Sus scrofa: one gene and its partners. The protein of the gene in region 1 interacts with the protein of each later gene in a pairwise test. Links are inferred from orthologs where the notes say so. Each region holds a gene or a part of one and is shown in the gene's direction. Other genes may lie near its edges.

The links.
Region 2: the proteins of POGZ (region 1) and ZXDC interact in binary tests that used the Homo sapiens proteins (3 or more experiments, as listed by UniProt). The link is inferred for Sus scrofa from reciprocal best matches to the Homo sapiens genes POGZ and ZXDC.
Region 3: the proteins of POGZ (region 1) and NFYA interact in binary tests that used the Homo sapiens proteins (3 or more experiments, as listed by UniProt). The two-hybrid records come from large-scale screens. The link is inferred for Sus scrofa from reciprocal best matches to the Homo sapiens genes POGZ and NFYA.

Annotation. Positions count from the first base shown.
Region 1 is NC_010446.5:97,775,314-97,779,507, forward strand, and holds the start of POGZ (pogo transposable element with ZNF domain), read left to right. Parts: upstream 1-1,273; 5' UTR 1,274-1,616; intron 1,617-4,194. UniProt on the Homo sapiens protein: Plays a role in mitotic cell cycle progression and is involved in kinetochore assembly and mitotic sister chromatid cohesion.
Region 2 is NC_010449.5:53,639,035-53,643,277, forward strand, and holds the start of ZXDC (zinc finger protein ZXDC), read left to right. Parts: upstream 1-1,361; coding exon 1,362-2,265; intron 2,266-4,243. UniProt on the Homo sapiens protein: Cooperates with CIITA to promote transcription of MHC class I and MHC class II genes.
Region 3 is NC_010449.5:36,400,209-36,403,850, forward strand, and holds part of NFYA (nuclear transcription factor Y subunit alpha), read left to right. Parts: intron 1-179; coding exon 180-311; intron 312-504; coding exon 505-610; intron 611-1,032; coding exon of another isoform or gene 1,033-1,050; coding exon 1,051-1,199; intron 1,200-3,103; coding exon 3,104-3,277; intron 3,278-3,642. UniProt on the Homo sapiens protein: Component of the sequence-specific heterotrimeric transcription factor (NF-Y) which specifically recognizes a 5'-CCAAT-3' box motif found in the promoters of its target genes.

The DNA of each region.
Region 1 (4,194 bases):
CAGGCTCAGAATATGGCAAAATTTGTCAGTAAGACTATTTCTGAGGCAAATGACATAATGAATTATAGTAATTATGGAGGGAAAGAATAAAATAGGATTAGATCTCCATGTAGAATGTTTTTTGATGATTGATTCCGTAATCCCGCCATGGGCTCTTCCAGATCAGGCCTGGAAAATCTTCAGAAGTATTTTCAGAAGGATTGGTGATCTTCCCAATTCAAATAATAAAGTTTTTCCTAAGAATGACTAGTTGAAATCACTCATATTTTTGGTATGAAATAGGATGATGAAAATGGGTGGTGGTGCATGCATGTGCATGGGTGCACAATTTGGAATGCTTACTTTCACTGCCAATTTTCATAGTCTGGTGGTTTGGAATGTAAACATAGAAAAAGAATAGATATGTTTTTGCATCTCACCAGCCTTGCACGACTACTTTGATTTACCATTTGGTTTGGAGCAGATGTTTGGGTATTGATTAAAGAGCAACTATTTCCTCAAATATCCAAGGAAAATACTAAGCTTTTATCATCTCAGGAGGTAATAAAGGACAAACTTTCTTAGTCACTTGGAAAGAGGTTAGTTTTTGTTTGAGGAAAAATAATAGGTTGATGGTCTTGAATGTACAAATCAATCTTTGGGCCAGTCCATGTCAGCCTTATTTGGAGCAAAGAGCACAGAAGAGGAGTCTACAGTTTCTTAGAATTGAGGATCTCCGAGGATTCTACTCATCTCAAAGCAGTTTTCATACATGATCACCTTAATAAGCAATCATGTGTGACTTCCTTCCAGAATCCAGAAGCGTCTAGGGTAAAAACGGCTTTTAAAATTTCTTCACTTAAGGCCACTTGACTGCATGTCTCTTGAGAAAGAGTGAGTGCCATTTTGACGCTTTTGTTCTAATGACAGTCGTTGGGGCCATTGGGCCTCACTATCTGGCCTAAGGCATGAGGTTCTCCTCTTGGTTAGGTAAGAGCCTTGAGTGGAAAGTGTGGAGATTCCCAAAATTTCCCTGGAAAGTCCCCGCAAGTGAATTGGGGAACATTATCTTTGGAAATCCCATCTTTATCACCAAAACTTAGATGTTGTTTCTGAAGCTAATTATTTTTCATTCCATTTTTTGGGAAAGATTATTTATTTATTTATTTGCAGGCCCAGACAAACTTGACTAGAAAAGAAGCCCGGGCAGGGGTTAGGATGAGCCCATGACGTGCCACGCGCTCCAACCAATTGAAAAACCACGAAAGGGGGAGGGCGGAAGTGACGAGTCGTATCCCTCCGCGGGGCGAGAGGGTCGGTGGGGGGAGTCGGCGTCTCTCTCCCCCGCGCCAGCTCCCGTACACGGAGCCGCATTCCTCGGCCCCCCCGCCCCCCTCCCTCGGGGGCCCCCCGCCCCCCTCGGGAAAAAAAATCCACCTCAAATCACTCGAACCCGAGGGAGGTTTCCTTTCACCCTCGGGGAGACTAGCTTTCAACGGTTCCCTCTTCTCCGTCTCCCCCCAAGCCCCCGTCCCCTCCCCTGCTCCCACCCCCTTCTCCCGGCGCGGGGTGCAAGGTCCCTTTAAGGCGACGGCGCCTTCCTCGGGTCAGACTACCGGCGGCGACGACCACGGGAGGTGAGTGAGCGAGCGAGCCTTCTCTCTCCCCACCCCCTTCTCCCGGGGGTTCCGTTATCTTTTCGCTCGGCGAGGCGTTCCGAGGCGAGACAATGAGAGGGGGATGGGGCGGGAACGCGAGGGGTGGGGGCGGGGGCCCGGTGGCGCGCGCCCCCGCCCCCCTCGAGTGGCGTCGCGGCCCGCGGCGGCGGCGGGCGTGGGGTGCGGCGCGCGAGAGCGTGTGTGAGTGCGTGCGCCCCGGGAGCCGCGCGAGTTGCGCGGCGGGCCGGGCCGGGGAGGCCCCTGCCTGCCGGCCGCCCCCGCCCCCCGGCGCCTGCCGCGGCGCGCGCGCGCGCACTCGCGCCCCACGGCCCCGCACACAGCCGACGTCCACACGCACACCCGGCGCGAGGCGTCTCGGAGGAGTGGGCGGGCGCGGGCGCGGGCGGCGGCCCGCCGGGGAAGGGGCGGGGGCGCGGGCAGCAGCGAGACGGCGGGGCGCGGCGGGAGGGGCTGGCTAGGGGGCGAGGCCGCGCCGGGGAGGCGGGCGGGAGGGGCGGCGGGCCGAGGTCCCCCGGGGGTGGGGTAGGGGTAGTGCTGGGTCCTCTCCGCCCCACCCCCGCCGGGCCAAGAGTGGGGCTCTCTTTTTGAGCTCCAGGAGGAAAATGAGTGATTGCTTAGCCGCTCCCTTGTGTTATGTAATTCCCGCTCGGTCGTATAGTACATCCCAAGCCTTAGCGCACCGCTGTTAGTTTACAAAGTCTCCTCCCCCCCAGCCCCCCTCCCCGCGCTCTAAGATTTCTTTGGGCTGGCGCCGTGATTTACAAAATGGGATGGGGCTTAAAATCTTTATTTTCCGATGATTATATCCTGCCGCGGTGGGCGCCATGTTTATCCCAGGGACTATTTTTCTAGGTTTTTAGCACCTTCTGAAAAGGAGTGATGTCGTTGATTCACCTGCTTTCTCTCCTTTCTACGAGTTGTCCTGATTTCTTCGCCTGTCACACGGGGGATTCCCCCAAATTGTTGCTAATGCTGGACGTTTCTCTGCTTGTCTTGGACATTTTCAGCTTAGAAAAAGGTAGAGCGGGAGAGTCTTTTTAAGTCATTTAGCCCAAAATCTCTTTGAAGATGGAAATTGAGATACAGGTGTCCTGTCTCAGAACAGCCGTCGTTTTGTTGCAAACTGTGCAGCCCTCTACACTCTTTTATAGAGTTCCCATCGCAGCTTAAAACCTCACAGAGATACAATTTTACTTTCAGAGGAATTTCCCTATCTAGATGAAGGGGAAACAGATGAGGTGGAGGGCTTGCCTCTTGGAGAACGGCATTGAATTTCGAGACCCATTGCTCTTGGAACTGGGAATTGGACTCTGAATTCGAACTACTTAGCACAATCATTCTTAACTTCAGGGTGCATAAGAAGTATGTTGGAAATTTCTAAAAGTGTAGTTGGGGTAGGGGAGGCTCATTCCCAAGCCTTTTTGGATGGGACGGGGAAGGGGTAGATTTCTACCTTCAGCTGAGAGTGTGGTAACCACCATATTGAGAGTTGTCGGTCTAGCAAAAAAGATGCTCAAAATCTTAGAACAATTAAGTGGCAGTCTATGCCCTTGATTTCCTTTTCCTATTTTATGGTTATAAGGTACCAGCCATGTTTTGTAAATTTTTAAGTTATATTAAGAATTGAACTAAATGGAGTTCCTGTTGTGGCTAAGCAGAAATGAATCTGACTAGTATCCATGAGGACTCAGGTTTGATCCCTGGCCTCGATCAGTGGGTTAAGGATCTGGCCTTGGGGTGAGCTGTGGTGTAGGTCGCAGACATGCTTCCTATCTGAAGTTGCTGTGGCTGTGGTGTGTGGGCCCGCAGCTGTAGCTCGGATTTGACCCCTCACCTGGGAACCTCCATGTGCCGCAAGTGTGGCCCTAAAAAGACTAAAATAAAATACAAAGAAAATTGAAATACAGTTAATGTAGAATTTTGCGTTAGTTTCAGGTGTACAGAAAAGTGATTCAATTATACATATTTATATCTATTTTTCAGTTTCTTTTTACTTATCGGTCGTTACAAGATATTTAGTGGAGTTCCCTGTGCTATATAGTAGATCCTTGTTGGTTTTCTGTTTTGCATACCAGCTCTCTTGGTGGTGTATCTCAAACTGAAAGAACTAACAATGACGACTCTTGGGATAAATCGGATTTTGTTAGTTTTCACGCCTGCCTTGGACCAGTGGTGTAATATAGGAAAGCAGTTCCCAAAATGTGGTTCACCGACCCTCGGGAATCCCCTCAGGCCCTTTCAGGAGTATTATCCACGAAGTAATACTAGGAGGCTATTTGTTTTTTTTACCGACATTTGCACTGATGGTCCAAAAGCAATGCTTGGTAAAACTACTGGTAGTACCTTAGCACAAAGCAAGGCAGTTGCACCCAACCTCAGCTATACTTACTTGAGAATGTCTTTGATGAAGCAGTAAAAATAATTTTATTAGATCTCAGTCCTTTAGTACACGTCTTTCTAAGTTTTAGGAATCTGTGGCCATTTGGGAAGTATGCATAAAACGCTTAAGCTCTCTACTGAGGTAGATCCTTGTAAG
Region 2 (4,243 bases), on another chromosome or scaffold:
GTGCAGTGGTATTTCATTGTGGTTTTGTATTGCATTTCCCATTTCACTTTTATTTTTTCTTTGGAAAGATGTCTGTTAACGTCTTTTGTGTATTTTTAAATTGGGTTGTCTTTTTGTGATTGAGTTACAAGAGTTTTTTAAAAAATATTTTGGATAGTAGATCCCCATCAGATATATCACTTGCAAACTTTTCTCCATTTTGTGGATTATCTTTTCACTTTCTTGTTTGTATTCTTTGACCCAAAAGAGTTTTTAATTTTGATGGCCAATTTGTTTCTTTAATTGGTTGTGCTTTTGGTTTTTAAATCTAAGAAACCTGTCCCCTAATCCAAGGTCATACAGATCTACATCTATGTTTTCTTCTAGTAGTTTTGTAGTTATAGCCTTTATATCCATTTTGAGTTGCTTTTTGCCTTTGGTAGGAGGCAGAGGGCCAAACCCATTCTGTTGTACGTGGATATCCAGTTGTCCTAGTACCCTTTATTGAAAAGGTTGTCCCTTCACTGAATGGTCGTGGAGCAATTTGTATTTTGGCACAAATCCTTATGTATATATGAGGATGTGTCCTATTCTTTTTAATATTATTGAAGTACCTTATTCTTAAAGTACTTTAATAATCAAGCATTCATCAATTCAATACATCTACTAAAAGTCCTCTCTGCTCGCCCCCGGTCACAGCTGTGAATAAGAGGACAGGGCTCCTGTCCTCACGGGGTCCTCATTTTAGAGTCACGATGAATTAGCAGGAAAGGGACGATAAAACTACTGCCACTGAGAGCTGTCAAAGGAAGAGGGGCGCTGCGAGAGTGCATTTTGGAGACAGACTTGCCTAAGTGCAGTCTCTAAGTTGGAACCTGCTCGTCCAGCGGGAGTGGGGGACGCATGGGGCGGTGGGACTGCAGAGAGGGGTCGAGTTGGGGAGCAGGTGCGGCCGGACACGCGTTTCGGAAGACCAGCAGCGCGACCTGCAGAGGAGCGACTGGGGGGCGGGGGCGGGGGCCGAGAAGGCCGCGGTGGGTCCAGGCAGGTACCAGAAGCGAGGGGAGGCTGGTTGAGTTGGTTGGACCTCTAACCGCAGGTCCCCCGCGCTCAACACGAGCGGCGGGGGAGCGAGGGGGGCGTGACCCGGCCGGGATTCTACCAACCCCGGACCGCCCGCGGAGAGAAGCCCTGACGTCACGCGCCCCGGTGGACGCCCTCGCCCCGCCCACCGCCCCGCGCACGCGCGCCTCGGGCCGGGCCTGCAACGCGCCGGGTTTTGGCGTTGACCCGCGGGCGTCGCGCACGGCGTCGCGCACGGAGGGCGTGAGGGTGGGGCGGGGCTTCCGGTGAGGCGGTGGCTGGACGCGCTGTGGCCCAAGATGGACGTGCCGGCGGTGCTCGCCCCCCCGGCTCCGGCCCCGGCCCAGCGCGGACCCCAGCTCGGGGGCGGCCCCGGTCGGACCCGCAGAGCTCCGGGCCCTGCGCGCCGCCGTCTCCTGCTGCTGCGGAGCCCCGAGGACGACGCGCAGGGGCAGCAGTGCGGAGAGGCCCGGCCAGCGGGCCCCGGCGGCGGCGGCGGCGGCGGCGGAGGCGACTCCTTCGTGGTGCTGCTGGAAGTGGCGCGCGGCGCGGCCGAGGCCCCGGGGCGGCTGGAGCCCGAGCCCGAGCCCAGCGTCGCCGCGAGCCCGGCCGGGCGCCCAGCGCAGGCCCTCGGCGGCGAAGCCCTTGTTTCCCCTACCGGCGCGCCTCTCGCGAGCCCCGGGGCCGCCGGCGGCCAGGACCTGGTGGTGCGCTTAGAGCGCGGCGTCCTCGCGCTTGCTGCACCGCCCCGGGGTTCTCCGCCGGACCGGGAGGCCGCCTGTCCGGCCGAGGCCCGCCGCGCGCCCGCCGGTCCCGGCTACCGCTGCCCGGAGCCACAGTGCGCTCTCCTCTTCGCCAAGAAGCACCAGCTCAAGGTGCACCTGCTGACGCACAGCGGCGGCCAGGGCCGGCGGCCCTTCAAGTGCCCGCTGGACGGCTGCGGCTGGGCCTTCACCACGTCCTACAAGCTCAAGCGGCACCTGCAGTCGCACGACAAGCTGCGGCCCTTTGGCTGCCCGGTGGGCGGCTGCGGCAAGAAGTTCACCACCGTATACAACCTCAAGGCGCACATGAAGGGCCACGAGCAGGAGAGCCTGTTCAAGTGCGAGGTGTGCGCCGAGCGCTTCCCCACGCATGCCAAGCTCAGCTCGCACCAGCGCAGCCACTTCGAGCCCGAGCGGCCCTACAAGTGCGACTATCCCGGTGAGCGGCGCGGCGGCGGGGGCCAAGCACGCGGCGTTTCTTCTTGCCGGGTTTTGGGGTTGCACCTGAACCCTGCGTTGCTGCGAGGTTGGGACAGCGAGGTAGCCCAGATCGTCTCAGCGCCCTTCCCAGGCTGCAGGCAGCGCTTCTCTTAAGGTGCTTCCGGTTAACGGGGTCGCAAGGTGTCTTTCCAGAGGTTTGAGTTTCCAGGCAGGTCTCATCGTTTAGAAAAGCTCGGTCCCACTTTCAGGCTCGCGCTCCGGGCTGCAGGGCGATCTGGCCCCAGGCGAGACCTTAGGAGCTGGAAGGACAGTCGCGGGTGTATGGTCCTTGTTTTTGTATCTCGAAAACCTTTATTTCCTTTGGACTTCACAGTTTTGTGAGGTTCTGGAAGTCGTCCTCATCTTCAGATGAAGAGACTGAGGCCGAGCAAGGCGGATACAGTCCGCGGAGGGGTCTTTCTCCGCTCTGATTGCTGTTGAACTCTCCCTGGGATAGATTTCTGCCTGGGAAGCCGAGGGAGTGCTGGTGGGTGAAGCTGCCAAGCCAAGGCAGGGAATGTGAGCTGTCGTGGGGCTGGGGGAGGAGCTGGAAGGGGGTCTGGGGGTGAAGCTGGAAGGGTGCAGGAGGCCTCCCGCATTCTTTGTTAAGAGAAGAGCTTGAATGTATTCCTACCTTGTGCCTGAGACCATGTTGATGTGTCTTGTAGGGCAGTGTGCTCTCCATAACGTGTATGTCATGAAATATATGTCAAAGGGTGGGACAAAAGTTAGTTGCTAGTATGTTTTTGTGTTTTCTTCCCTCCTGTCCTGGGCTGTCTTGTGCACCCATCTTCCTGGAGAGTGTGGCTTTAGGCCACTGATTAACGACTTTCTGAGCCCTGCACTCAGATGTGTTGGTGGCTTGCGACCGCTCTCTGGTCAGAAGCACAGGGGCACCTGAATGTGGTGGCAGAAGGGTCAGGGGTCCAGCCTGCTCCAGGGCACCCAGTCACCCTGAGGATTTTGAGGTGAATAGTCAGTGGGGTGTCTATCAGAGATGGGTGGGAGCAGGCTGTTGAAGCCCTGCTGAATGTTCCAGACCTGAGTTTGCTGAGGGCTGATCCAGGTAGAGGCAGTGGGGAATGCTGGAGAAGAAAGATTGCAGGGGGGAGTCGTGAGACCTGACTGTCAGCTGCGTGTGTGTGTGTGTGTGTGTGTGTGTGTGTGTGTGTCGGGAGTTCCTGATAGGGCAGGGGACTGGCTGAGCCTGTTTAGATTCGCCTGACCCAGTGTGAAGACGCCAATCCCAGGATGAGGAATGGCCAGGGTGGGGGCAGATTTTTGCCAGCAGGGAGGGTTGTAGGGCATTTAGGAAAATCAGCATTTCCCAGTTCAGTGTTGCTGCAGAAAGTAGGGTTCCCTACGCAGCGTGTACCTGGGGGCACCTGGTGGCAGGAGAGAAGTCTTCGAGGAAGAGGGCTTCGAGAAGTGTGTGCAGAGACACCTGGTAAACCTCTTGCAGCCTCCTGTTTCCTGCCCTGTTGGAGCCCTGAACCTTTTGTAAAAGGAGAACTAGTTATACCCAAAGTCTGGTGGCCTAGCTGAGGTTGAAGATGACCCCATAACCTCTGACAGCGCAGGGAACCCTGAGGAAGTGGGCCAAAGGAGAGAGAGGAGCTAGGTGACCGAGGCCAGTTGCAGGGGAGAGGGAGCAGCATCGCTCCCACAGGTGAAGAGGTCAAAGGGTCTCAGATGCTGCAGTGCTCTGCAGCCCTTTCCAGCTCAGCCTTACCAGCTGGGAACTCCTTCATGGGTCCTCGCATTGGCCTCTCTTGCTTTCAAGCGGGCCGCCGTGGCAGTTGAATTTCTGTAATGTCCACAGGGTCTGTGCTACAGCACTAGGAGCTGGTGACTGTGCCTGGAGGACTCTTGATCAGGTGCTCTGTCTCTGAGTCCTCTCGGGGCCAGAGGCCTGTGTGCACCCATTGGCTCCCCGG
Region 3 (3,642 bases), on another chromosome or scaffold:
CATGTCATAAATGGAAGACAGGTTCTCTCTAACTCATAATAGAGAGCAGAACAAGGCTTCTGTCTCTTTTTCCTCTTCAGAGCATTTCCTGCCTTCTAGAGGAATTTGAGTAAGGAACACTCCGGGGCCAAAGGAGTCCAGTGTCAGCAGAGCACTAACATTTGTGTCCTCTTCCGCAGATACAGTTGGTCCCACCTGGGCAGATCCAGATCCAGGGTGGGCAGGCTGTGCAGGTTCAGGGTCAGCAGGGCCAGACCCAGCAGATCATCATCCAGCAGCCCCAGACTGCTGTTACTGCTGGCCAGACACAGGTAATTTCGTTCTCTCCACTGTTAGAGCACAGCTGATTTGGAAGGTCAGACCAGCTAGTTGAATATTTCACATGTAGTAGAAGTGGGGTAGAAAATTATCCAAAATTTGTTTTTTCTTAAAAAGGACTAGATAGTCCTTTTCTTTGTGGTGGCTTTGGAATCTATAAATTGTGTCCCGGTGTATTTCCTACAGACACAGCAGCAGATCGCTGTCCAGGGGCAGCAAGTGGCACAGACTGCTGAGGGACAGACCATCGTCTATCAGCCAGTCAATGCAGATGGCACCATTCTCCAGCAAGGTAGTGTGCCCATCTTTTCTGTGGGACTTTTAGGGGCATCCTTTTCATCTTGAGCAAATTGACTGCTTTAGAAATTTTGTGGTGACCTCTTGAACAACATAGTGGTCCATAGACAGGGAAGCCTCCAAACTTTTTGGTCACCCATTAAAAACTATTGGAATACCCAGGGAAATACCCAATTTAAGGTTGGTTTTATTCAAAACTGGAACCCGGATAGTTAATAGAATTTCTAAGATTGTCATTGTATGGAGTATGTACAGCAAACCGGGGAGGCAATGGAAGAGTGCTTTTTTCCCCTTGTACTGTGTTAAGTAGGTTTTTCCAGGGTAAATTAAGTGTGTGCCAGATAGAAGAGGGACTAACTCTGTTCCCTTCTTTCTGTGTACCTGTTTTTTGTTTGTTTTATGTTTTATTTCTTAAAGTTACAGTCCCTGTTTCAGGCATGATCACCATCCCTGCAGCCAGTTTGGCAGGAGCACAGATTGTTCAGACGGGAGCCAACACCAACACAACCAGCAGTGGGCAAGGAACTGTCACGGTGACACTACCAGTGGCAGGCAATGTGGTCAATTCAGGAGGGATGGTCATGGTAAGAAATTCTTTATCTCAGCTGTTCTCATCAGTAATTGCTTTCCCATGTATCTCTTTGTCTTTGAAATGTTCTTGAACTTGCAATTTGGTGTCTAATAAAGCTTGTTTATCATGCTGACCTCCTAGGATTGAGATTTATCCCTTAAGACACAGAGGTCTACTTTTACAAAAACCGTAATTCATTCAGAGCACCTGCTGTGTGTCAAGAGACGATTCTAGGTACTAGAAGTATAGCAGAAGATACACAGATGTAAATATTTGCTTTTAAGTAATCTTACTCAGAATTCAGATAATGAAGGGAGATATAAACTGCTAATTTTTTTGTCTCTTTAGGGCTGCATCTGCAGCATATGGAGGTTCCCAGGCTAGGGGTCAAATCAGAGCTGTAGCCGCCAGCCACAGCCGAGCTGTGTCTGCGACCTACACCACAGCTCACAGCAATCTCAGATCCTTAACCCACTGAGTGAAGCTGGGGATCGAACCTGCATCCTGTGGTTACTAGTCATACTCATTTCCACTGAGCCACAATGGGAACTCCTAAACTACTAATCTTTAAGAAAGGGGAAGTAATATTGCCCAGAGTGGGTGAAATTAGAAGTCAGTTCAAAAATAGGATTGAAGGAGTTCCTGTTGTGGCTCAGCAGTAACAAACCTGACTAGTATCCATGAGGATGCAGGATTGATCCCTGGCCTCGCTCAGTGGGTTAAGGATCCGGTGTTGCTGTGAGCTGTGGTGTCCTGGTGTAGGTCGCAGACAAGGCTTGGATCCCATGTGGCTGTGGCCATGTCCAGCAGCTGCAGCTCTGATTCATTCCCTAGCCTGGGAACTTACATATGCAGCAGATAGAGCCCTTAAAGGGGGGGGGGTAGGACTGTAATCAGTAGAGAACCCTCCCCCCCCCAAGAAATGTGTGATACCAACATATTGAGAAGACAGGAAAGGGGAGTTGAGTGATGTGAGTGAAGCTAAATCCTCATATGTCAAAACAGGGGTGTCAGTATATAGCACCGAAAATGGATAAATTCAGAATGAGTAGTAGAAACCTGCACAGAAGTGGAAGAAGCTACCAGAAGAAACAATATAGCCACTCAGTGTTGTCACCCTTGGGAAGGGAGTGGGCCAGGGGAGCCTGTTTCTTGTTCCCTCATACATTTAGTACAATGTTTTATTTTTGTTTGTTTAGGAAAATAGGAGTTGAATTACATAGTAAGTTAACTATTTAAATTATTTATATAACTAAGAGCATCTAGTAGCACTTGGTCAGTCTGAACCTACTTTCCTTTGTGCCATTTTCCTTGTGCTCTTATTGCCTTAGGATTACTGCTCATAACTATTAGATGGCAGCAGACATTTCCAGAAAATGGAACCACATGTAGGTGGACAGAAATTTGAATATGGTTTTTATCATTTCTCACTATGGCTTCTCAGTCCCCTGTGACGGAATGGAATGTTTGTTTAAAATGTAGACTTTGGAGTTCCTGTCATGACTCAGTGGTTAACGAACCCAACTAGTATTCATGAGGATGAGGGTTCAGTCCCTGGCCCTGCTCAGAGGGTTAAGGATCTGGCATTGCTGTGAGCTGTGGTGTAGGTTGCCGATGCGGCTTGGATCCCACATTGCTGTGGCTGTGGCATAGGCCCGCAGCTACAGCTCCAATTCGACCCCTAGCCTGGGAACCTCCATATGCCACAGGTGAAGCCCTAAAGAGACAAAAAACTAAAAAATAAATAAATAAAATGTAGACTTTTAGCGTATTCTCCAAGATTCTGCATTTAGCTAAGTGTCGTGTAAAAGCTACTCTTCTTACCATTTTTCTGAAAACAGAGGAACCAAGAAACCATTTCCCATGTCCATATTTCATGCCAGGATTTGATGAGCTCTGATTTTTTTCTCCACTCAGATGGTACCTGGTGCTGGCTCTGTGCCTGCTATCCAAAGAATCCCTCTTCCCGGGGCAGAGATGCTTGAAGAAGAGCCTCTCTATGTGAATGCCAAACAGTACCACCGTATTCTTAAGAGGAGGCAAGCCCGGGCTAAATTAGAGGCAGAAGGGAAAATTCCAAAGGAAAGAAGGGTACGTGTAACACTGGGAAGGATGTAGGACAAGAATGGCAGGGTTCTACTTTTGAAACCAAACCTTAGAGGGTTTGGTTCCAGTACCTTCCAGACATTGAAGTTAGATAGCTGTTATCTTTTGTAAAAGCATTTATTATTTCTAGATATAGCGGCAACTACAATATTTAAAAAAACAAACAAACAATCCTGTGGTGTAAATAGGATTTTTTTTTTCCTTACATAAAAGAAGTCCAGAGATAAATTGTCTTGGACTGGTAGCACATTTCCAGACCCATTCTCCTCCTATTTTACTGTCCACCCATAGTCCAAGGTAACTGCCTGGGCTCTAGCCTAGGAGCAAAGGGAACTAGAAAGGCAGTCTTA